Bombyx mori: one gene and its partners. The protein of the gene in region 2 interacts with the protein of the main gene of each other region in a biochemical or structural test. Links are inferred from orthologs where the notes say so. Each region holds a gene or a part of one and is shown on either strand. Other genes may lie near its edges.

Region 1 (6,519 bases), on a different chromosome or scaffold from region 2:
TTGATATGAAGTAGTTTTTGTAATGCCATTCATGCTTAAAAATTATGGTGTCACATACTCACCAAGGAGCACTAATAAAGCAGCAAGTATGGCAGTCCATTGATGTAAAGATAGTTCTAGCATCAAAAAATATGTAATTAAAACTAGAAAACTTCCTGACACAGCTGGAACTAGCCTGAGAGCCTTCACAGGAACATTGTCAGTATATGGAGTACCAATCCGGTCAAAAGTAAAGTTTCCATCATATCCAGCAATACTACCAGCTAGATATAACAACTGTTTGCCAAGTGGTGGATGAGCATCAAAAAAAAAGACACCCTTAGTATATAATGAAACATATCTTCCATAATGTAATTCATCAAATCTGAAACATGAAACTCGTAAGTATTTTAATACCTAAATTCATTACAATAAAGCTGAATTTGAAACAAATTAAACAAGCATAGTATTATTATGAAATAAAAATTATGATTTAGGGGCATGATGCAAGATAGTTAAAATGTCAAGCTTTTATCTTCTCATACTAGCTATTAGGTAAAAGAGTTAAAACAGATGGCAGGTAAAAATTCAATCAATTTAAAACACAACACAAAAAGTATTACTCGTGAACTTTGATAATTACGTATATATTTTTCTTACACAATATGGCGAGGTTCATCTAGTTTATATAAACGAGTGCATAATGCCAATATTAGAAGTCCTATTGCGATTACATCAATCTTGAGCTGTAAATATATGCGTGAAGGAGAATGATTCATTTTGTTCGTCAGCATTAATTCTGGTTTTTCAGTTTCATTTTCAGCTGGGGCACCATCGCCCTTTAAAAGGAAGGATTAAGGATTCTTAACCAATTATGGTAGATTAGAAAGTGTTGATGAGATATTAAAAAAGGTGAAATGGAGAGAACATTTCACCTTCTTTAATTCCATCTAAGATGTAAATCTTTTATAAAACTTACTTAACTTACTGTAACTTCTCACTAAAGAACTATAAGCACTATTTTACTTTGGCTATTTATAAGCTTATAGTTTTAAGCATTATAACTTATATGTTAATAATTGGTAATAGTTAATAATTCAATTAATAACATTCCCAGTAAATTATTATATTACAATAACAAATCTTACCAGTAACTTACTAATAATTTATAAAAACGATTTCGATGGGTCATCATAATCTTATCACCTGTATTTGATTATGATTTATGAAAAGACAAAGTACCTGCCATTTTTTTTAAAAATATTGTATGAGAATTATTGTAATTCAATCAATGAAATTCTGAAACATTCATACATAAATGCTAAGAAAACTTCTGAGTAAATAATCCCGAAAACTTTATTTGTTATTAGTTGTACAATGACACAGTAATTTCATCCACATAAGTGAAGACATAAGTTTTCAATATATCGAGGGGTGAAAGGCATTTTGGTTTAAGCGACATTTCGCTAATATGTGATTAATCTTTGAAGGTAAATAAACGTCCATTTTATTTAGTTTTAGTATCGATAGATGTTTTTAATTGAACTTCAATTAAGTTTAGCCCATTCAAATAGCTGAAGAAGTTTTTTTTGTTATGATTCTGTTATAAAATTTTCAAACTTCAACTCCTGTAAAGTTGAAAAAATGTCGCTTAAACCAAATAGCCCTCGATATGATTCGAAACATCGGAAATTAAATATAAATTACTAACGCGAGTCATTAATCACAACTGGGAAAAAAAATTTATTACAATCTATATCTAATCAACGATTCGCATTTACTATTTAATTAAGTTTTGTAAATGAGCCAAGGATTAAATTAATAAATATACGAAGTTTGGTGAAGTTTCTAAGTCATAAATTACGAATTATTGTGCTTATGGTTTGTAAATATTAATTACGAAATTAAAACAAATTTACTTGCCACTTCTCGATGGGAATTACATGTTTTCTCCGAATAACTGTACTCCTGAGGTTCTGTGACCTCCTTACGAATCTTGTTTATTTTACGATTTTTAACACACCGTCCTGTGTCCATTATTTCTGTATTGAATTATAATTAACATTAGAATATTTAAGTACATAGAATGCGGTTCGTCAAATATTATTCAACATAAAATTCGATTGATGAAAGTTAAATTTTTCATTTCAGTGCAAGTGTTTTTAGTAGGTAAGTAAATAAGTATCTACTACCTACACTTAATTTGCCTAAGGGAACTTAGACCATACAGGCATACACATACATCATACCATCTTTCAAAAAAAACCCTTTCAGCTGAGAACGAGCATGAAAGCATGAAACGTCATTAATTGGAATAGATTTTGTAACTAACTTGAATAAATTCTCACCATTTTACTGAAAGATTAAATAAAATTATTTAATCTCAACACATTTAATTTCATAATATTTTCTTTTACATTTTGGTCTTTTCATATTCCTAATATTTGATTTTTTCATTACCTTATTAACTCCATTTTATTAGAACTAACGCCCTGTCTACGGTATTTTTTAAAACATAAAAGGGTGGATGAGCTGTGACGTCGAAAGTGATACCGGAGAGCCCATAGACATTTGAAACATAAATGCCATCACCCACATTATGACATGAGTTCTACCAGTGCGGGCTCACCTCGCCCTGATTTATCGAAATGAAAACTTTTGCAGAATTTTTATGATACAATGTTATTCCTTCATCATAGAAATCATTCATGAACCGTAATAAGTATCAAGTATGTGTTTCGGTAGAATAATTGGTACCTTCCTTGAACGCTTGTCCAGTCGCATCGCTTGATACGAATGCACCGGGTGACACTTAGCCATGACGACGTCAAAACAAAGTAGGATCAGACTGTGCGACCTATGTTCCTTTTGATGATTTGCCTTTCTGTTGCAATATAGCTTATAATACATAAACATGGTGGGGACTTTTTGGCGAGAACGTGAGGAGTGAATTGTGATTTGTTTTATTTTGTCTATTTTAGTGTTTATTCGGGTTTAAATGTGTAATAACGGTGGTTTCTTGACTATTTAGTATTTGTGAAAGTGCACACATGTGGAAAAATGAAACAAAGCTGCTGAATGTAACTTCTTGGGATGCTCCAAAAAGTCCACTGAAAAAGTCTCAGTAAATGACCACCATTTTACTGAGATTATATTTCATCTCATCTCATATAATCTTATCTCATTTGTTTAAGTTCATGCCAATTGATTAAGTTTCCTTCGTTTTTTATTATTCATAAACTTTAAATAAATAAAACGGCGAATTATAAAAATCCATGGAGTTAATAAGTACCATAAAAATCTTATTACTTGACGCTGGCTAATGCACAAACCGTGCCGGATCCAAAAACTAAAGAAGAAACTATTGGGTGGGACTACTTGAACTTTTTTGGCGGGAATGCGAGAAGCGAAGCTGTGTGAATTTTGTCAATTTAGTTTCTTAGGGTTTTGACGTGTTTTATCGGTGAATTATTAACTGTTCAATATCTCTGAAAGTGCACTAATCACTGATGAGGGAGGGAAAGTGAAATAAATGCGCTGGACATTGGGTCTCAGGTTCTTCCAAAAAGTGCACTGAAAAAGTCTTATAGTAATATAACCACCATTTTACCTTCTTTATTTATCCCATCTCCTTTTTTTGTATCATCCCAAATTTTCATATGAAAACAAAATAAGAAAATATAAGACTTGGCTTGAAGGTCTCTTCACCAGGTAATAAAATCTTTAAAAAATTTAATTGATATTTTATTTGAAGTAAGTATACCTCTACATAAGTTCAGTAAATTTAATTATATCATGCGAGTTACTTGTTACAGGTTCATAAAATTGAAAAGATAAAAATATGAGTGATTGTACAAAGACTGTGAATTGTCCTATATGTAATAGAAGTTTTGAAAATACCGAAATTGAGGAACATGTAAACAAATGTCTTTTTCTCAATTCTTGTGAAAAATCTAATTCGAAAAGACAAGGGCAACAACTATTATCTCCAAATGAAAAAAGAAAGAAAGTTGAAAAGTTAACAGCTTTGCCTCCAAACTTGAAGGTGATGTGGATAAAAAAACAATATTTTTTTGATTATCTTAACAGTAAGAGTATAGATAAAATTGTGTAGATCCAGTTACAAGTACAAGGAGCTAGCACTTATTATTAAATATACCAATATAATATTGCATAAAAAATTAAAACATACTGACAAATATGCATATAGCATGCTGATGTTGAACCTATGACTTCTGAATGGAGGAATGCTAGCATGCAGCAATTCAATTGCTTCACTATATCTCTATTAGTTATTAAATTAAAACATAATTTAAAATTAATTCAAATCTTTCAACAGAGTTCACAATCACAAAAAATAAGCACAAATGAAAACATAAAAATACCTCTATCAGAGTCTTTAAGGCCAAAATCTCTGGACCAGATTGTTGGACAAAAGCAATCATTTGGCACAGATTCAATGCTCCGATCGATGCTTGAACAAAACAAGATTCCTAACATGATTTTGTGGGGTCCACCAGGCTGCGGAAAGGTTATGCTACATCAAAAATTTTAACAAAAAATACTGTAGAGAATTGGGATTCACGACTTCTTTCTACAATTTCTCAATATGTGACATAAGCTCTACATCTATCTCATTTATATTGAAAGCTTAGGACTGACTATCTACTGACATTATTATGAATATGTTAGGCTCTAGTTTGGCAAAAGGAATAGGAATCAGTTGGAGGGATTAGTTATAATATTACCTGTTCAATAATCCCAATGTAGCATATTTTCATATCTTATGTCCTTAGTAATACACTTGAAGAGATGAAAGTGAATAGATTCAGACCTTAAATATTATATATCTTAAAGAAAAAATTTGAATCCTAAGATCAGCAGTCAATATTACTAACCACTGGACTACAGAGATAACCTAGTTATAAAATAAGGTCTGTTAGTCTATCACTGATATAAGGTTTACTATTATACTCTAATAGCTATATAAATAACATTTTTTTGTTTTCTACACATTCCCAAACCATTCTTCCATTTGTGTTTAAATTTACTACAGTTCTTATTGGCACTAAAGGAAGGTTTCGCTCATGTAGCATCATTGTGTGATGAAAGTGATAAATTTCAAAAATACTGATATTTTTTTATACCCATAGTGATTATAAGAATGTGACCAGTTAGACTAGTTATAAGTGAAGGCACTGGCATAGCTTAGTCATTTTAATAAAACAATGAATTATTCAATTATTCGTCTTCTTGATTATTTCAGACGTCATTAGCAAATGTTATCTCTAATATTTGTAAAAAACAAAATAATTTAAAATTTGTAAAACTATCAGCTACTACATCTGGCATCAATGATGTAAAGGAAATTGTTAAAATAGCAAAAAATGATGCACAATTTAAAAACCAGACTATTTTATTCATGGATGAAATCCACAGGTAAATGGTATTAAATTGAATTGGTCAAAGAAGGTGTATTTGTATATTTGTGATGCTGGCATCTTTAGTTAGGTATCTCATATGATTATTATATGATAAATTGCAGATGAGTCATTTCTACAATTGTTGCAGATTTAGGCATTTATAGAAAAGAAATTAACTAGTACTGTGTGTAAATTGCAGTGTTTAATTAGCTTTAGCATGTAAACTTCCTAATCATAATACTTGTGTATTATTATGTTTGTAATAAGTACAAAAGAGTTCACCAGTGAAATTGTGCTTGTTTGGCCTGGGCAGCAATGTTCTTTTTTATTGCCCTGGTAAGCAGGTATAATCCGGCCAACCTGATGGCAAGTGACACTTTAGGTCATTAATGTTAGCAATTCCAGAGGCACAGCAAAGTCTCTGCCTATGCTAAGTATGCACACCAGCATACTACGATTGTACCAGTAAATAGGGTAATGTCAGTCCCCATAGGTGGGTCACCATCATCTTACCTAAATCTGCAGCAGAACAGTCCTGCATTCCGTATAGAAAGGTGGGATAACCATTATGTTAAACAATTGGTTGCAGAGGAGGATGTTTTATACGTATTGTGGTAAGGGCTACAATAATCACTTAATACCAGTTCGCTCATGAGCTACTGAGTAATGAAAAAAAAACGATTCTAGATATGACGCAAATGTCGCTATCTCCCTTGGAGTCTTTTAGTTCACGCAACACAATCTACAAATTTAAATTAATTAATAAATTAATTTAATAAAAAAATACCTACATTGAAATCACCATTTGTGGTGTGAACACAACTTTAGGATTCTGTATTAACGTATATACCATCTTTAAATCTAGAACGCATCGCAGTTGTGGAGCCAAAATGGTATGAATGGTACCTAATTATGTAGAAAAAAATTGAATACATCACGTTAATCTTACATTGTCCATGTAATTTGTATTTTTAAGACCTTTGCAGGTAGATGAGTATACGGTTCGACTGGTAAGGGCTTACCGTCGCTAATGGTCAAGCAATGCCAAGGGCATAGCTAAGTCAATGCATACGAACTGTTTCGGAGGCGGGAAGTGCGATGGCAACAGCCATATAGG
Region 2 (3,974 bases):
ATGATTTGTTGATGAATTTTCGGATTATCGATATTCCCCTTCGAATCCTTACTACTTCAAATTGTTATTTTCACTGATCATACAAACCGGTTTTAAAATGAACACCTCTCAAGGGTGTTTCCTGAGCTCTATGAAATCTTCTTGTTCAATCAAGGTTTGAAAGGAGTATAGCATTGCCAGTGTCCATGAGCATCGATCAGTACTTACCGTCATATGGGCCATTGGCTATTGTATCTATTACGAAAAAAAACCACAAATACTTAAGATTAAAAGTGTTTGAAAAAACTCTAGCATTTTTTATGTGTTAATTCGAAAGTATTCTTGCCTAGCTTATTTATTCTGATGAACTGCTGCTACAATCAACGCCCTATAGGTGAACAAAATGTAATCGTTCAAAGCTCTGCCATCATTTCGTTCAGCAATTCACCATCTTCTGCTCCCCACTCCGAACGAGGAGCACTGCTGCTTGAGATACAGGTTTCATCACCTAATTCAAGCACAGATGCAAATTAAGACTGTCTTTCTACTTCTATGCTAACAATAAATAAATAAGTAATAAAAAAATGAGTATCGCCGGCAACCAGCTGTTCTTCTAGCTCTAACTTTTCTATTATTCTCATTTACAACTCCTACAAGCTGATTGAATTTTCACCGCACTCGCACATATCAGCTGTACGTTTTCACCAAGCCTTTTGGTGGGCTAATCGATATATTAGAGATAAAAACTTGTTTAAGCCTTTGCATAAGTTTTACTATTACTTCTTAAGTGAAAATAAATTTATGTGTCCTAAAGTACATATTAATTTATGATAGATATTTTTCAAAACATAAAACAATCGTCAAAGCTTAAAAACTGTTTGAATACGTATAGCAACATTCCGCCATATTGCTCAGAGTGATTTCTTTCAGGCAACGACTTCCTAAAATAGTGATCGAGAATAATCCTAAAATACAAGCCTGAAGGGAATACATGGAATTTTTAATTTATTATATTATTCATTAAATTAACTCAACTCATCTCGTCTCGTCTCGTCTCATCTCATTTCATTCATTTCATTTCATTTCACACCATGTTTCATATTAATCAACTTTATTTCATTTCATAATATCTTTTTTCATATAAAAAGTTTTCATTATAATTAAAATAAGACTTGACCTAAAAGTCTTAGTTACCAGGTCATAAAATTCTTTATTCTGCTTTCAAGAGTCAAGTTGAATTTCATTCATTCGTGAAAGAGCTACCTAGTTGCACGACGTGTCCTACAATTTGTGATAATTTTAATAATTTTTGTGAATTCCAAAAAGGTAGGAAATATTTCAATTTTTCAAAAATATCACAACTCTACTGCATGAAATAATTATTGTCAACAAGAAAAGTTTGAAAATCAAGTTTGTCATTTGTACACACAAAAAAATCTGAAACAATGACGATGTAATTTATGATCGTCGCCATTTTGTGATGACTAAAAGTCTTTGTTCTTTTGTTTTGTTCGTCAATCCATTTAATACTCCGAAATAGGGAATTCATCCGTCAATCTTCATTAAAGTTCCTTCTTTGTTCTAGAAACCACCATGCAGATTTTTGTAAAAACTCTCACTGGTAAAACCATAACATTAGAAGTCGAAGCATCCGACACCATAGAAAATGTAAAAGCAAAAATTCAAGACAAAGAGGGCATTCCTCCAGATCAGCAGCGACTGATTTTCGCTGGGAAACAACTTGAAGACGGACGGACATTATCCGATTACAATATTCAAAAAGAATCTACTCTCCATTTGGTATTACGTCTGAGAGGTGGAATGCAGATCTTTGTGAAAACACTTACCGGTAAAACCATCACACTAGAAGTTGAAGCATCTGACACCATTGAGAATGTGAAAGCCAAGATTCAGGACAAAGAGGGAATTCCCCCAGATCAGCAGCGATTGATCTTTGCGGGCAAACAGCTTGAAGATGGCCGTACATTATCTGACTACAACATCCAGAAAGAATCTACTCTGCATTTGGTGTTACGTCTCAGAGGTGGCATGCAGATCTTTGTGAAAACACTTACCGGTAAAACCATCACACTAGAAGTTGAAGCATCTGACACCATTGAGAATGTGAAAGCAAAGATTCAGGACAAAGAGGGAATTCCTCCGGATCAGCAGCGGTTGATCTTTGCGGGCAAACAGCTTGAAGATGGCCGTACACTATCCGACTACAACATCCAGAAAGAATCTACTCTGCACTTGGTTTTGAGACTGCGTGGTGGCATGCAGATCTTTGTGAAAACACTTACCGGTAAAACCATCACACTAGAAGTTGAAGCATCTGACACCATCGAAAATGTGAAAGCCAAGATTCAGGACAAAGAGGGAATTCCCCCAGATCAGCAGCGATTGATCTTTGCGGGCAAACAGCTTGAAGATGGTCGTACACTATCTGACTACAACATCCAGAAAGAATCTACTCTGCATTTGGTATTACGTCTCAGAGGTGGCATGCAGATCTTTGTGAAAACACTTACCGGTAAAACCATCACATTGGAAGTTGAAGCATCTGACACCATCGAAAATGTGAAAGCCAAGATTCAGGACAAAGAGGGAATTCCCCCAGATCAGCAGCGATTGATTTTTGCTGGCAAACAGCTTGAAGATGGTCGTACATTATCTGACTACAACATCCAGAAAGAATCTACTCTGCATTTGGTGTTACGTCTCAGAGGTGGCATGCAAATCTTTGTGAAAACACTTACCGGTAAAACCATCACACTAGAAGTTGAAGCATCTGACACCATTGAAAATGTGAAAGCAAAGATTCAGGACAAAGAGGGAATTCCCCCAGATCAGCAGCGATTGATTTTTGCGGGCAAACAGCTTGAAGATGGCCGTACATTATCTGACTACAACATCCAGAAAGAATCTACTCTGCATTTGGTGTTACGTCTCAGAGGTGGAATGCAGATTTTTGTGAAAACACTTACCGGTAAAACCATCACATTGGAAGTTGAAGCATCTGACACCATCGAAAATGTGAAAGCCAAGATTCAGGACAAAGAGGGAATTCCCCCAGATCAGCAGCGATTGATTTTTGCTGGCAAACAGCTTGAAGATGGTCGTACATTATCTGACTACAACATCCAGAAAGAATCTACTCTGCATTTGGTTTTGAGACTGCGTGGTGGCATGCAAATCTTTGTGAAAACACTTACCGGTAAAACCATCACACTAGAAGTTGAAGCATCTGACACCATAGAAAATGTGAAAGCCAAGATTCAGGACAAAGAGGGAATTCCCCCAGATCAGCAGCGATTGATTTTTGCGGGCAAACAGCTTGAAGATGGTCGTACATTATCTGACTACAACATCCAGAAAGAATCTACTCTGCATTTGGTGCTACGTCTCAGAGGTGGAATGCAGATTTTTGTGAAAACACTTACCGGTAAAACCATCACATTGGAAGTTGAAGCATCTGACACCATCGAAAATGTGAAAGCCAAGATTCAGGACAAAGAGGGAATTCCCCCAGATCAGCAGCGATTGATTTTTGCGGGCAAACAGCTTGAAGATGGTCGTACATTATCTGACTACAACATCCAGAAAGAATCTACTCTGCATTTGGTTTTGAGACTGCGTGGTGGCATGCAGATCTTTGTGAAAACACTTACCGGTAAAACCATCACACTAGAAGTTGAAGCATCTGACACCATTGAGAATGTGAAAGCCAAGATTCAGGATAAAGAGGGAATTCCCCCAGATCAGCAGCGATTGATCTTTGCGGGCAAACAGCTTGAAGATGGTCGTACACTATCTGACTACAACATCCAGAAAGAATCTACTCTGCATTTGGTATTACGTCTCAGAGGTGGCATGCAAATCTTTGTGAAAACACTTACCGGTAAAACCATCACGCTAGAAGTTGAAGCATCTGACACCATTGAGAATGTGAAAGCCAAGATTCAGGATAAAGAGGGAATTCCCCCAGATCAGCA
Region 3 (6,649 bases), on a different chromosome or scaffold from region 2:
CCCCGCTGGGTCAGAACCAGCGTGGGTCGAGGATAGCCGGCCTTCCATCACCCGGATGCTCTTGCGTAAAACGCGTGCAGAGCAGCTTGCACGTCGTCTTCTTAGGCCCCCTTCGCCTGTCCCCAGACCGACATATGAAGGGGACCCGAAACACTTAGAGGGCCAGGGCTTGGGCGAGATCCGCCTCCCTGGCCCCCGCTCGACGGCGGCGGGCTTGCGTGTCTCTCACGCGCCCCGCCGCCTCCTTCTGCGAGATGGTGCACTCGCAGAAGTCGAGCATCGCCTTCCACGACTCGTCGTCGCCGAGCATCGATGCCACAACACTCGGCAACGACAAGTCGTTTCCTATTTTTGCGACGAGGACACGGCGCCACCCCTCCCATGCGGGGCAGGCGACGAGCGTGTGCTCCGCCGTGTCCAAGCCGCAACCACAATGGTGGCACTCTGCCGTCGGCTCGGCTCCGATCCGGTGCAGGAACTCACCGAAGCAACCATGCCCAGTGAGCACCTGCGTGAGCCGGAAAGTGAGGCGTCCTCTGTCACGATTCACCCAATTCACAAGAACCGGGCGAATCGCCTCGACGGTCCTACGACCAGCCGAAGGATCGGCCAGCCGTCTGGACCATGCCTCCAGCACGGACCGCCGAGATTGGGCCCTCCGCGCTCTGACCACACTGGGGCTGGGACGTGCCACGCCCCGGATACGAAGGTCAGCCCGCCACTGATAGTCAGCAGCGAGCGCCTCCGCCTCCAGGACCCAAGGCGGCGGCGCAGTACAGTGCCATCTGCGCATTTCTAGCATGCTAAATGTTATCGTCGTTTCGTATGTTGCCGTCTCGCTCGCACTTGCGTTTATGCTGGAAAGGGATTAAAGCTTTATGTCGGCGATAAAACGTTAGCATGCTAGCTATGCTGTTTTGGATATGAAAATAAGAGTACGTGTTTTTCTTAGACTACTTACCTCCCTATTATTTATTTATTTATTTATTTATTACACTTCATGTAAAATTTACATTGGCGGACTTAATGCCTAAGGCATTCTCTACCAGTCAACCAAAGGTAGTGCAGAGTAAATAGTGGTAGGTGCAATGAAATTTATATTAGGTAACGAATACATACAAAAAAAGTATATCTACATATATACAAAATCACATATACATACATACATACATATATACACACATACATACATATAATAGTTTATACAGTATTAAAAGGAATAAATTTCCTTAACAAATAACTTCATCAAGTTCATGACGATTCCGCTAACTTTTCCAACAGCATTCGCCGAACCCTTAACTTGAACGTGCAGCGGTTACAATCTATTTTACTATTACAATCTATTTTAATTGTATTGCTGACTCTAAAGTCCGTAACACACTACCGCAGCGAACCTCAAGGTAGGTGCGCCGCAACATTTGAATCACTCTCGAGAGTGATTCAAATTTTAAACTTATCAAGGGACCGCGTGATAAAAAGCACCTACAGAACATTTATTTAATTACAAACGTCATTCCTTGTGACTTCCCCTCTAAATACACTTAATTATTAAAAAATTAATGAATTTACAATAGTGTTTTACTCGCTACGGAATAAAACTATTTTATTTAAATAGTTCCGAAGAGAAATTTTGTCGGTAGCCTTTTGCCCGAAATATCTAAACAGAGTGTCTAAATATGTTTTGATGACACATTTTATTAAGAGGTATTTATGATTAGTGTCATTATCAATAGATTCCGACCTCAAAATGGTGTCCGATTTTTGGGATGAGTGCTCCATAATGAATTTAAATATATGTAGATAATAGTTTTGGGGCATCGACTTTCTTGAGATCCTATAAAATATGTTTTAATTATTATTTTTGTATGTTTTAAGCGGGGTAGCATGATAAAATAAGAAATTTTATATAAGCAATCATATTATATCGATATCAAAGTCAATAAATAATGTACAACTCAAAACAGACGGCTGAACTGACGTGACAATGACATTTGGTGCGCTAAACATGGCGGATTTTCGGCCTCATTAGACCATATTAGACATTTACGTATATTCATGTTTCATTTTATGTACGCACTGAAATACTGTTATATTGTTTTCCTGCGAGTTACAGTACTGAGTAAGAACGAGATAGATATATGTTTATGTGTGTGCCTTCAAAATAGGTGCTATTTATATAAACAATTGTACGTATAGAACAATATGTCGTGTCCCGATATTGGTCTATGTAGCAACTCTACTTTACCAATATTAAGTGTATAACCTATTTTTATATACCTAAAGGTGCTTGAGAGGATTTTTTGGCGGGAACGCGAGGAGTGAAGTTGTGTGATTTGTTTTATTTTGTCTATTTAGTGTTTCTTCGGGTTTAAATGTATAAGAATGGTGGTTTATTAACTGTTTAATATCTGTGAAAGTGCACAAATGTGGGAAAATGAAACAAAGCCGCTGGACGTAACTTCTCGAGATCCTCCAAAAAGTCCACTGAAAAAATCTTAGTAAATGACCACCATTTTACTGAGATTATATTTCATCCCATTTCATTTCATTTAATTTTACCCCAGTTGATTAATGTCTCAAATTAGTCGTCTTCATTTCATTTCACTCCATAATATCATTTTTCATAAAAATGAATATAAATTAAAATAAGACATGACTTAAAGGTCTCAGTTACCAGGTCATAAAATCCCTTAAAAAAAAAGTAAAGGTGCTAGTCATCGGCGTCATTTTACATTTCGTACTTGCCTACTTCAATATATTTGTCGTCACTCTATTCAAACTATTTCAAACAGTTTACTGTAAAGGGTTAAAGTACTTTAAGGGTTCACAGTGACACTGCATATCATAGTGTAAGTTAACAATAATTTCTCCACAACACTGCTGTATTTTAATTGAGTGCATAACCTACATCCATTATATACTAGTAAATTTTATATCAGTACTTAGTACATACTTGTTATCATTTATTAACTTATAAAATTTCGATTTTGGGCATTTAAGTTCATCTTATGTTTTTTAATCTCTATTAATTTTAAAATGTAAGTTATTAAGATCTGGATTTAAATTCCTTTGATAAGTGATTAATTATTTAATTGCATTTTTATCAAATGTATTTATTTTCGTTCCTGCCGTCTCCGCCATTTGTGGTTTGATCAGATTTGTTTTTTTTTTTTAGAAAATGTCTACTGCACTGTTTGGCAATACGTCTGGTCTTGGGGGAAGTTCAGGAGGAAACAAACACATAGTAGAATTTCGTGCTGGTCGTATGACGTTGAAAGGTCGTATGGTACATCCAGACAAAAGGAAGGGGCTCTTGTATGTTTACCAAGGAGAAGATTCTCTCATGCACTTTTGTTGGAAAGACCGAACTACGGGGGAGGTTGAGGATGACTTGCTTATATTTCCTGATGATTGTGAATTTACGCGTGTGAATGAATGCACCACAGGCCGAGTTTATGTACTCAAGTTCAAGTTGTTTTCGAAGAAGTGCTTCTTCTGGATGCAGGTCTGAAAGTACACATATTATAACCTTAAAACTGTTTGTCATGAGATGACCGTAAATTTCTTAGTGAAAAATATAAATAAATTTGGTAAAAATTGTTGCTAATTTATTGTGTAAAGTATTAAAAAACAGTAATCATGATGCAACATTTAAATTTGTTTACTAATTAATCATTGTAATCTACAATTATGGCAATGGTTTCTAAAAAAAAATATTGCCAGTTTGATTTCAGCTGTACTTTAGAATGGTAGATTTTTGGATTGCCAAGTCAAAATTGTATAGATTGAGAGACTAGATTTTTATATTGATTTCTCTTGATTAAAAGTCTGACATCTTGACTATTCAGTAGTATTGTAGCAATTTTACTATCATATAAAATATTCTCACTTAAAGAAGAATTGTTATTTTATAGAAAAAATATTTAATGATATGTATTTCTATTTTATTGAGATTTATAGCTTATTTTGTTTTCTAATCACACTTTTAGACTTTTTATTTTTACAAGAACCAAGAAATTTCTAGTTTTTTAACAAACATATTTTATATTTATATAAACGTTTTTTTATTACTTAAACGAGGTTATTGCTTAGAGTGCACCACCCACTTGGTGCGCAGTAGTTACCAGAACATCTGTAGATGTTATATGCCTACACCCACCATGAGATATATTTTTACAGTAAAACAGTTGCCTCACCTTTCCAGACTGCTTAACTGCTTCATGGTAAAAATAGGCAAGATTGTGGCACCTACCAATGTAGACTGACAAGACGACCTATCAGGACCTCCAAATTACTTCCTACATGACAGTCTATTAGTAAAACTTATTGAACTATGAAACTCTATGATAAAGAAATTAATGAAAGCCCTTTCAGGAGCCAAAGGCTGACAAGGATGAAGAATACTGTCGGCGCATTAATGAAGCATTAAACAATCCTCCTACATCTGGTGGGCGTGGAGGAAGCAGTAGTGGTGGGCAAGATCGTGAAATACGTAATTTACTCAACAATATGTCTCAACAACAGCTAATGCAATTATTTGGAGGTGTTGGTCCAGTGGGAGGAATTACTTCTCTCTTAGGAACAATGGGGTAAATATTATGCTAATAATATTATAATAGTATAAGTAGCACAATAAGTATATCAATTTTAGCTCATTCTCGCCACTAATGTAAATATAAAAAAAATATTGCATATTTAACCTTACATTTGGTTGTGATGATCAATTTCAACCAGTTTTAAGAGTATGATCTCTAAAAGCATTTTCAACTGCTTCTTGAAAATTCAAAATGTATTAGAATTCATTTTTGTTCCTCAAATACATTCTATATTGATTTGCAAATGCATCATGAATCAGTTAAGTGTTTTTTGCACAAACTTTGTTTTCTCTTAAGTCTGCCTTAGTTAAGTTTTATGACAATAAGTATGTCATCAAAATTTTAGATCAGCAGGTTAAGTATTGATGGAACCAATAACCTTAACCAATAAATCATCTTAAAAAAAACAAACAATGCATTTGTAATAAAACAGGCATACATCATAAATTTTTTATCAAAATGTAATCATGAAAATACATAAAAGTCAAACAATTACAAAAAAAGATCTTTCTTTGACACCATTATCTTTTTCCTACTTTATAAATAAATGATAATAGTGAATAGTAAACATAAATAATTTGGAATATGGAGTAATTTAATATAATATATGTGCAGTCTTGTTTTCTGGAGTGCTAGATATTAAATATCTCTTGCTTCGCTGTATGGAGAAGATGATTTTCGGTAGGCAGCGGCTTGGCTTTGCTTCTGACATTGCTGAAGTCCGTGGGCGACGGTAACCACTCACTATCAGGTGGGCCGTATGCTTGTCTGCCTACAAGGGCAATAAAAAAAAAACCTGTATGTCATGAATGTTCAGTTTGGCTTATTAAAATTTGTTTGCTCACATATTTTTGTGTATTATAATAATTTACAATTAATTTTATCAGCAGAAGATAAACAGCTTATAATTGCCTAATTTTGATTAAAAAATCTATTATGAGTTTATAGAAGTATTGAATTGATTGCATTCAATTTAAAAAAAACCTTTTACACCCCTGGTAAAGTAACCGGCAAACTTCTTGAGCAAATGACCTTGACTGCGCAGAACCGAATTTTATATCACTTTGGTGGTGAGGGTGAGGCGCGACGGCAGGGGAAATTGTATCGAGCGCGTTATTGGTAGATCAGTCGAACCTTGCGCCCCGCAACGCGCCCTCGTTCCGCTTGCTCCCAAAAGTACGCTTGCGTACAGTGAAAAGTCTATCGTTATTAATCGTTAAGTTATTTGTTATAATTGCTTGTTGACTTTGTTGCCATTGCTGTTTGTTGATTTTTTATAAAAAATACACTATGCCGCGACAAACTGGTGTAGTATTCAAAAGAAAGGGTAGAAAAAATATGTACGACGTATGTTGCTTCATTATAAAACAGAGGAAGAATGATATGGAAAAGTAAAACAGACTTCGGAAGCAACAAAAACATCCGTGAGTACTGTTAGGTGCATTATTAACGAAGCTAAAGGCTCTGGCTTGCTCGCCGTGTTTCGGACTCCGGGTAAGAAAAGATCAGGGAAGAATAAAGTTACCGGAATGGATAGTTTCGTTCAATCTAATAAAAAGATGTAATCATAATAACTACATAACAAGCAGCGAAACTCCTTACCGTAGAAAGGCTTCGAAAAATTTAAAGAAGATATAAATTTTAATGGAAACGAATTATGAAAGAGCTAGGCTTCAGATGGAAAAAAAAACCAGAAAATAATCGGAAGCTGGTAATTGAAAAAAGTTACATTCGATTACTACGAATCGAATATCTTCAAAAAATAATTAATTATAGACAAAAAAGTAGACCGAACCGACCGAAACTACACCGATGAGCCCTATGTCGACTCATCACGATGATAGCGACTCGGGTAATGAAAACAGTGATTGATGATGATGGTCAAGATTATGATAACGAAAAAAAAATTACAAATACCAGCTTCGCTTCAACTGAACCAAGTCCTGGCAACAGCTCTAGTTATGACTTAATAGAAGGAATATTTATTTTACCGCAAGATTAAATTATTACAATTATTAACCTATATTTTTTGTTGATGTTCTAATAAGTATATA

The links. The genes of interacting proteins can lie anywhere in the genome.
Region 1: the proteins of polyubiquitin-A (region 2) and ATPase WRNIP1 form a complex in vitro, tested with the Homo sapiens proteins (6 studies listed by BioGRID). The link is inferred for Bombyx mori from reciprocal best matches to the Homo sapiens genes UBC and WRNIP1.
Region 3: the proteins of polyubiquitin-A (region 2) and proteasomal ubiquitin receptor ADRM1 form a complex in vitro, tested with the Homo sapiens proteins (10 studies listed by BioGRID and IntAct, with this or other methods). The link is inferred for Bombyx mori from reciprocal best matches to the Homo sapiens genes UBC and ADRM1.

What each region holds. Positions count from the first base shown.
Region 1 is NC_085110.1:12,983,689-12,990,207, forward strand, and holds the start of ATPase WRNIP1, read left to right. Parts: upstream 1-2,559; 5' UTR 2,560-2,708; exon of another isoform or gene 2,709-3,690; intron 3,691-3,794; 5' UTR 3,795-3,820; coding exon 3,821-4,024; intron 4,025-4,318; coding exon 4,319-4,510; intron 4,511-5,245; coding exon 5,246-5,418; intron 5,419-6,519. Other genes in the region: protein O-mannosyltransferase 1, read right to left, coding at 63-364, 640-818, 1,903-2,016. UniProt on the Homo sapiens protein: Functions as a modulator of initiation or reinitiation events during DNA polymerase delta-mediated DNA synthesis. In the presence of ATP, stimulation of DNA polymerase delta-mediated DNA synthesis is decreased.
Region 2 is NC_085127.1:9,713,253-9,717,226, reverse strand, and holds the start of polyubiquitin-A, read left to right. Parts: upstream 1-1,174; 5' UTR 1,175-1,305; intron 1,306-1,564; 5' UTR 1,565-1,572; coding exon 1,573-3,974.
Region 3 is NC_085111.1:12,300,361-12,307,009, reverse strand, and holds the start of proteasomal ubiquitin receptor ADRM1, read left to right. Parts: upstream 1-2,689; 5' UTR 2,690-2,849; intron 2,850-3,175; 5' UTR 3,176-3,178; coding exon 3,179-3,505; intron 3,506-4,374; coding exon 4,375-4,589; intron 4,590-6,649. UniProt on the Homo sapiens protein: Component of the 26S proteasome, a multiprotein complex involved in the ATP-dependent degradation of ubiquitinated proteins.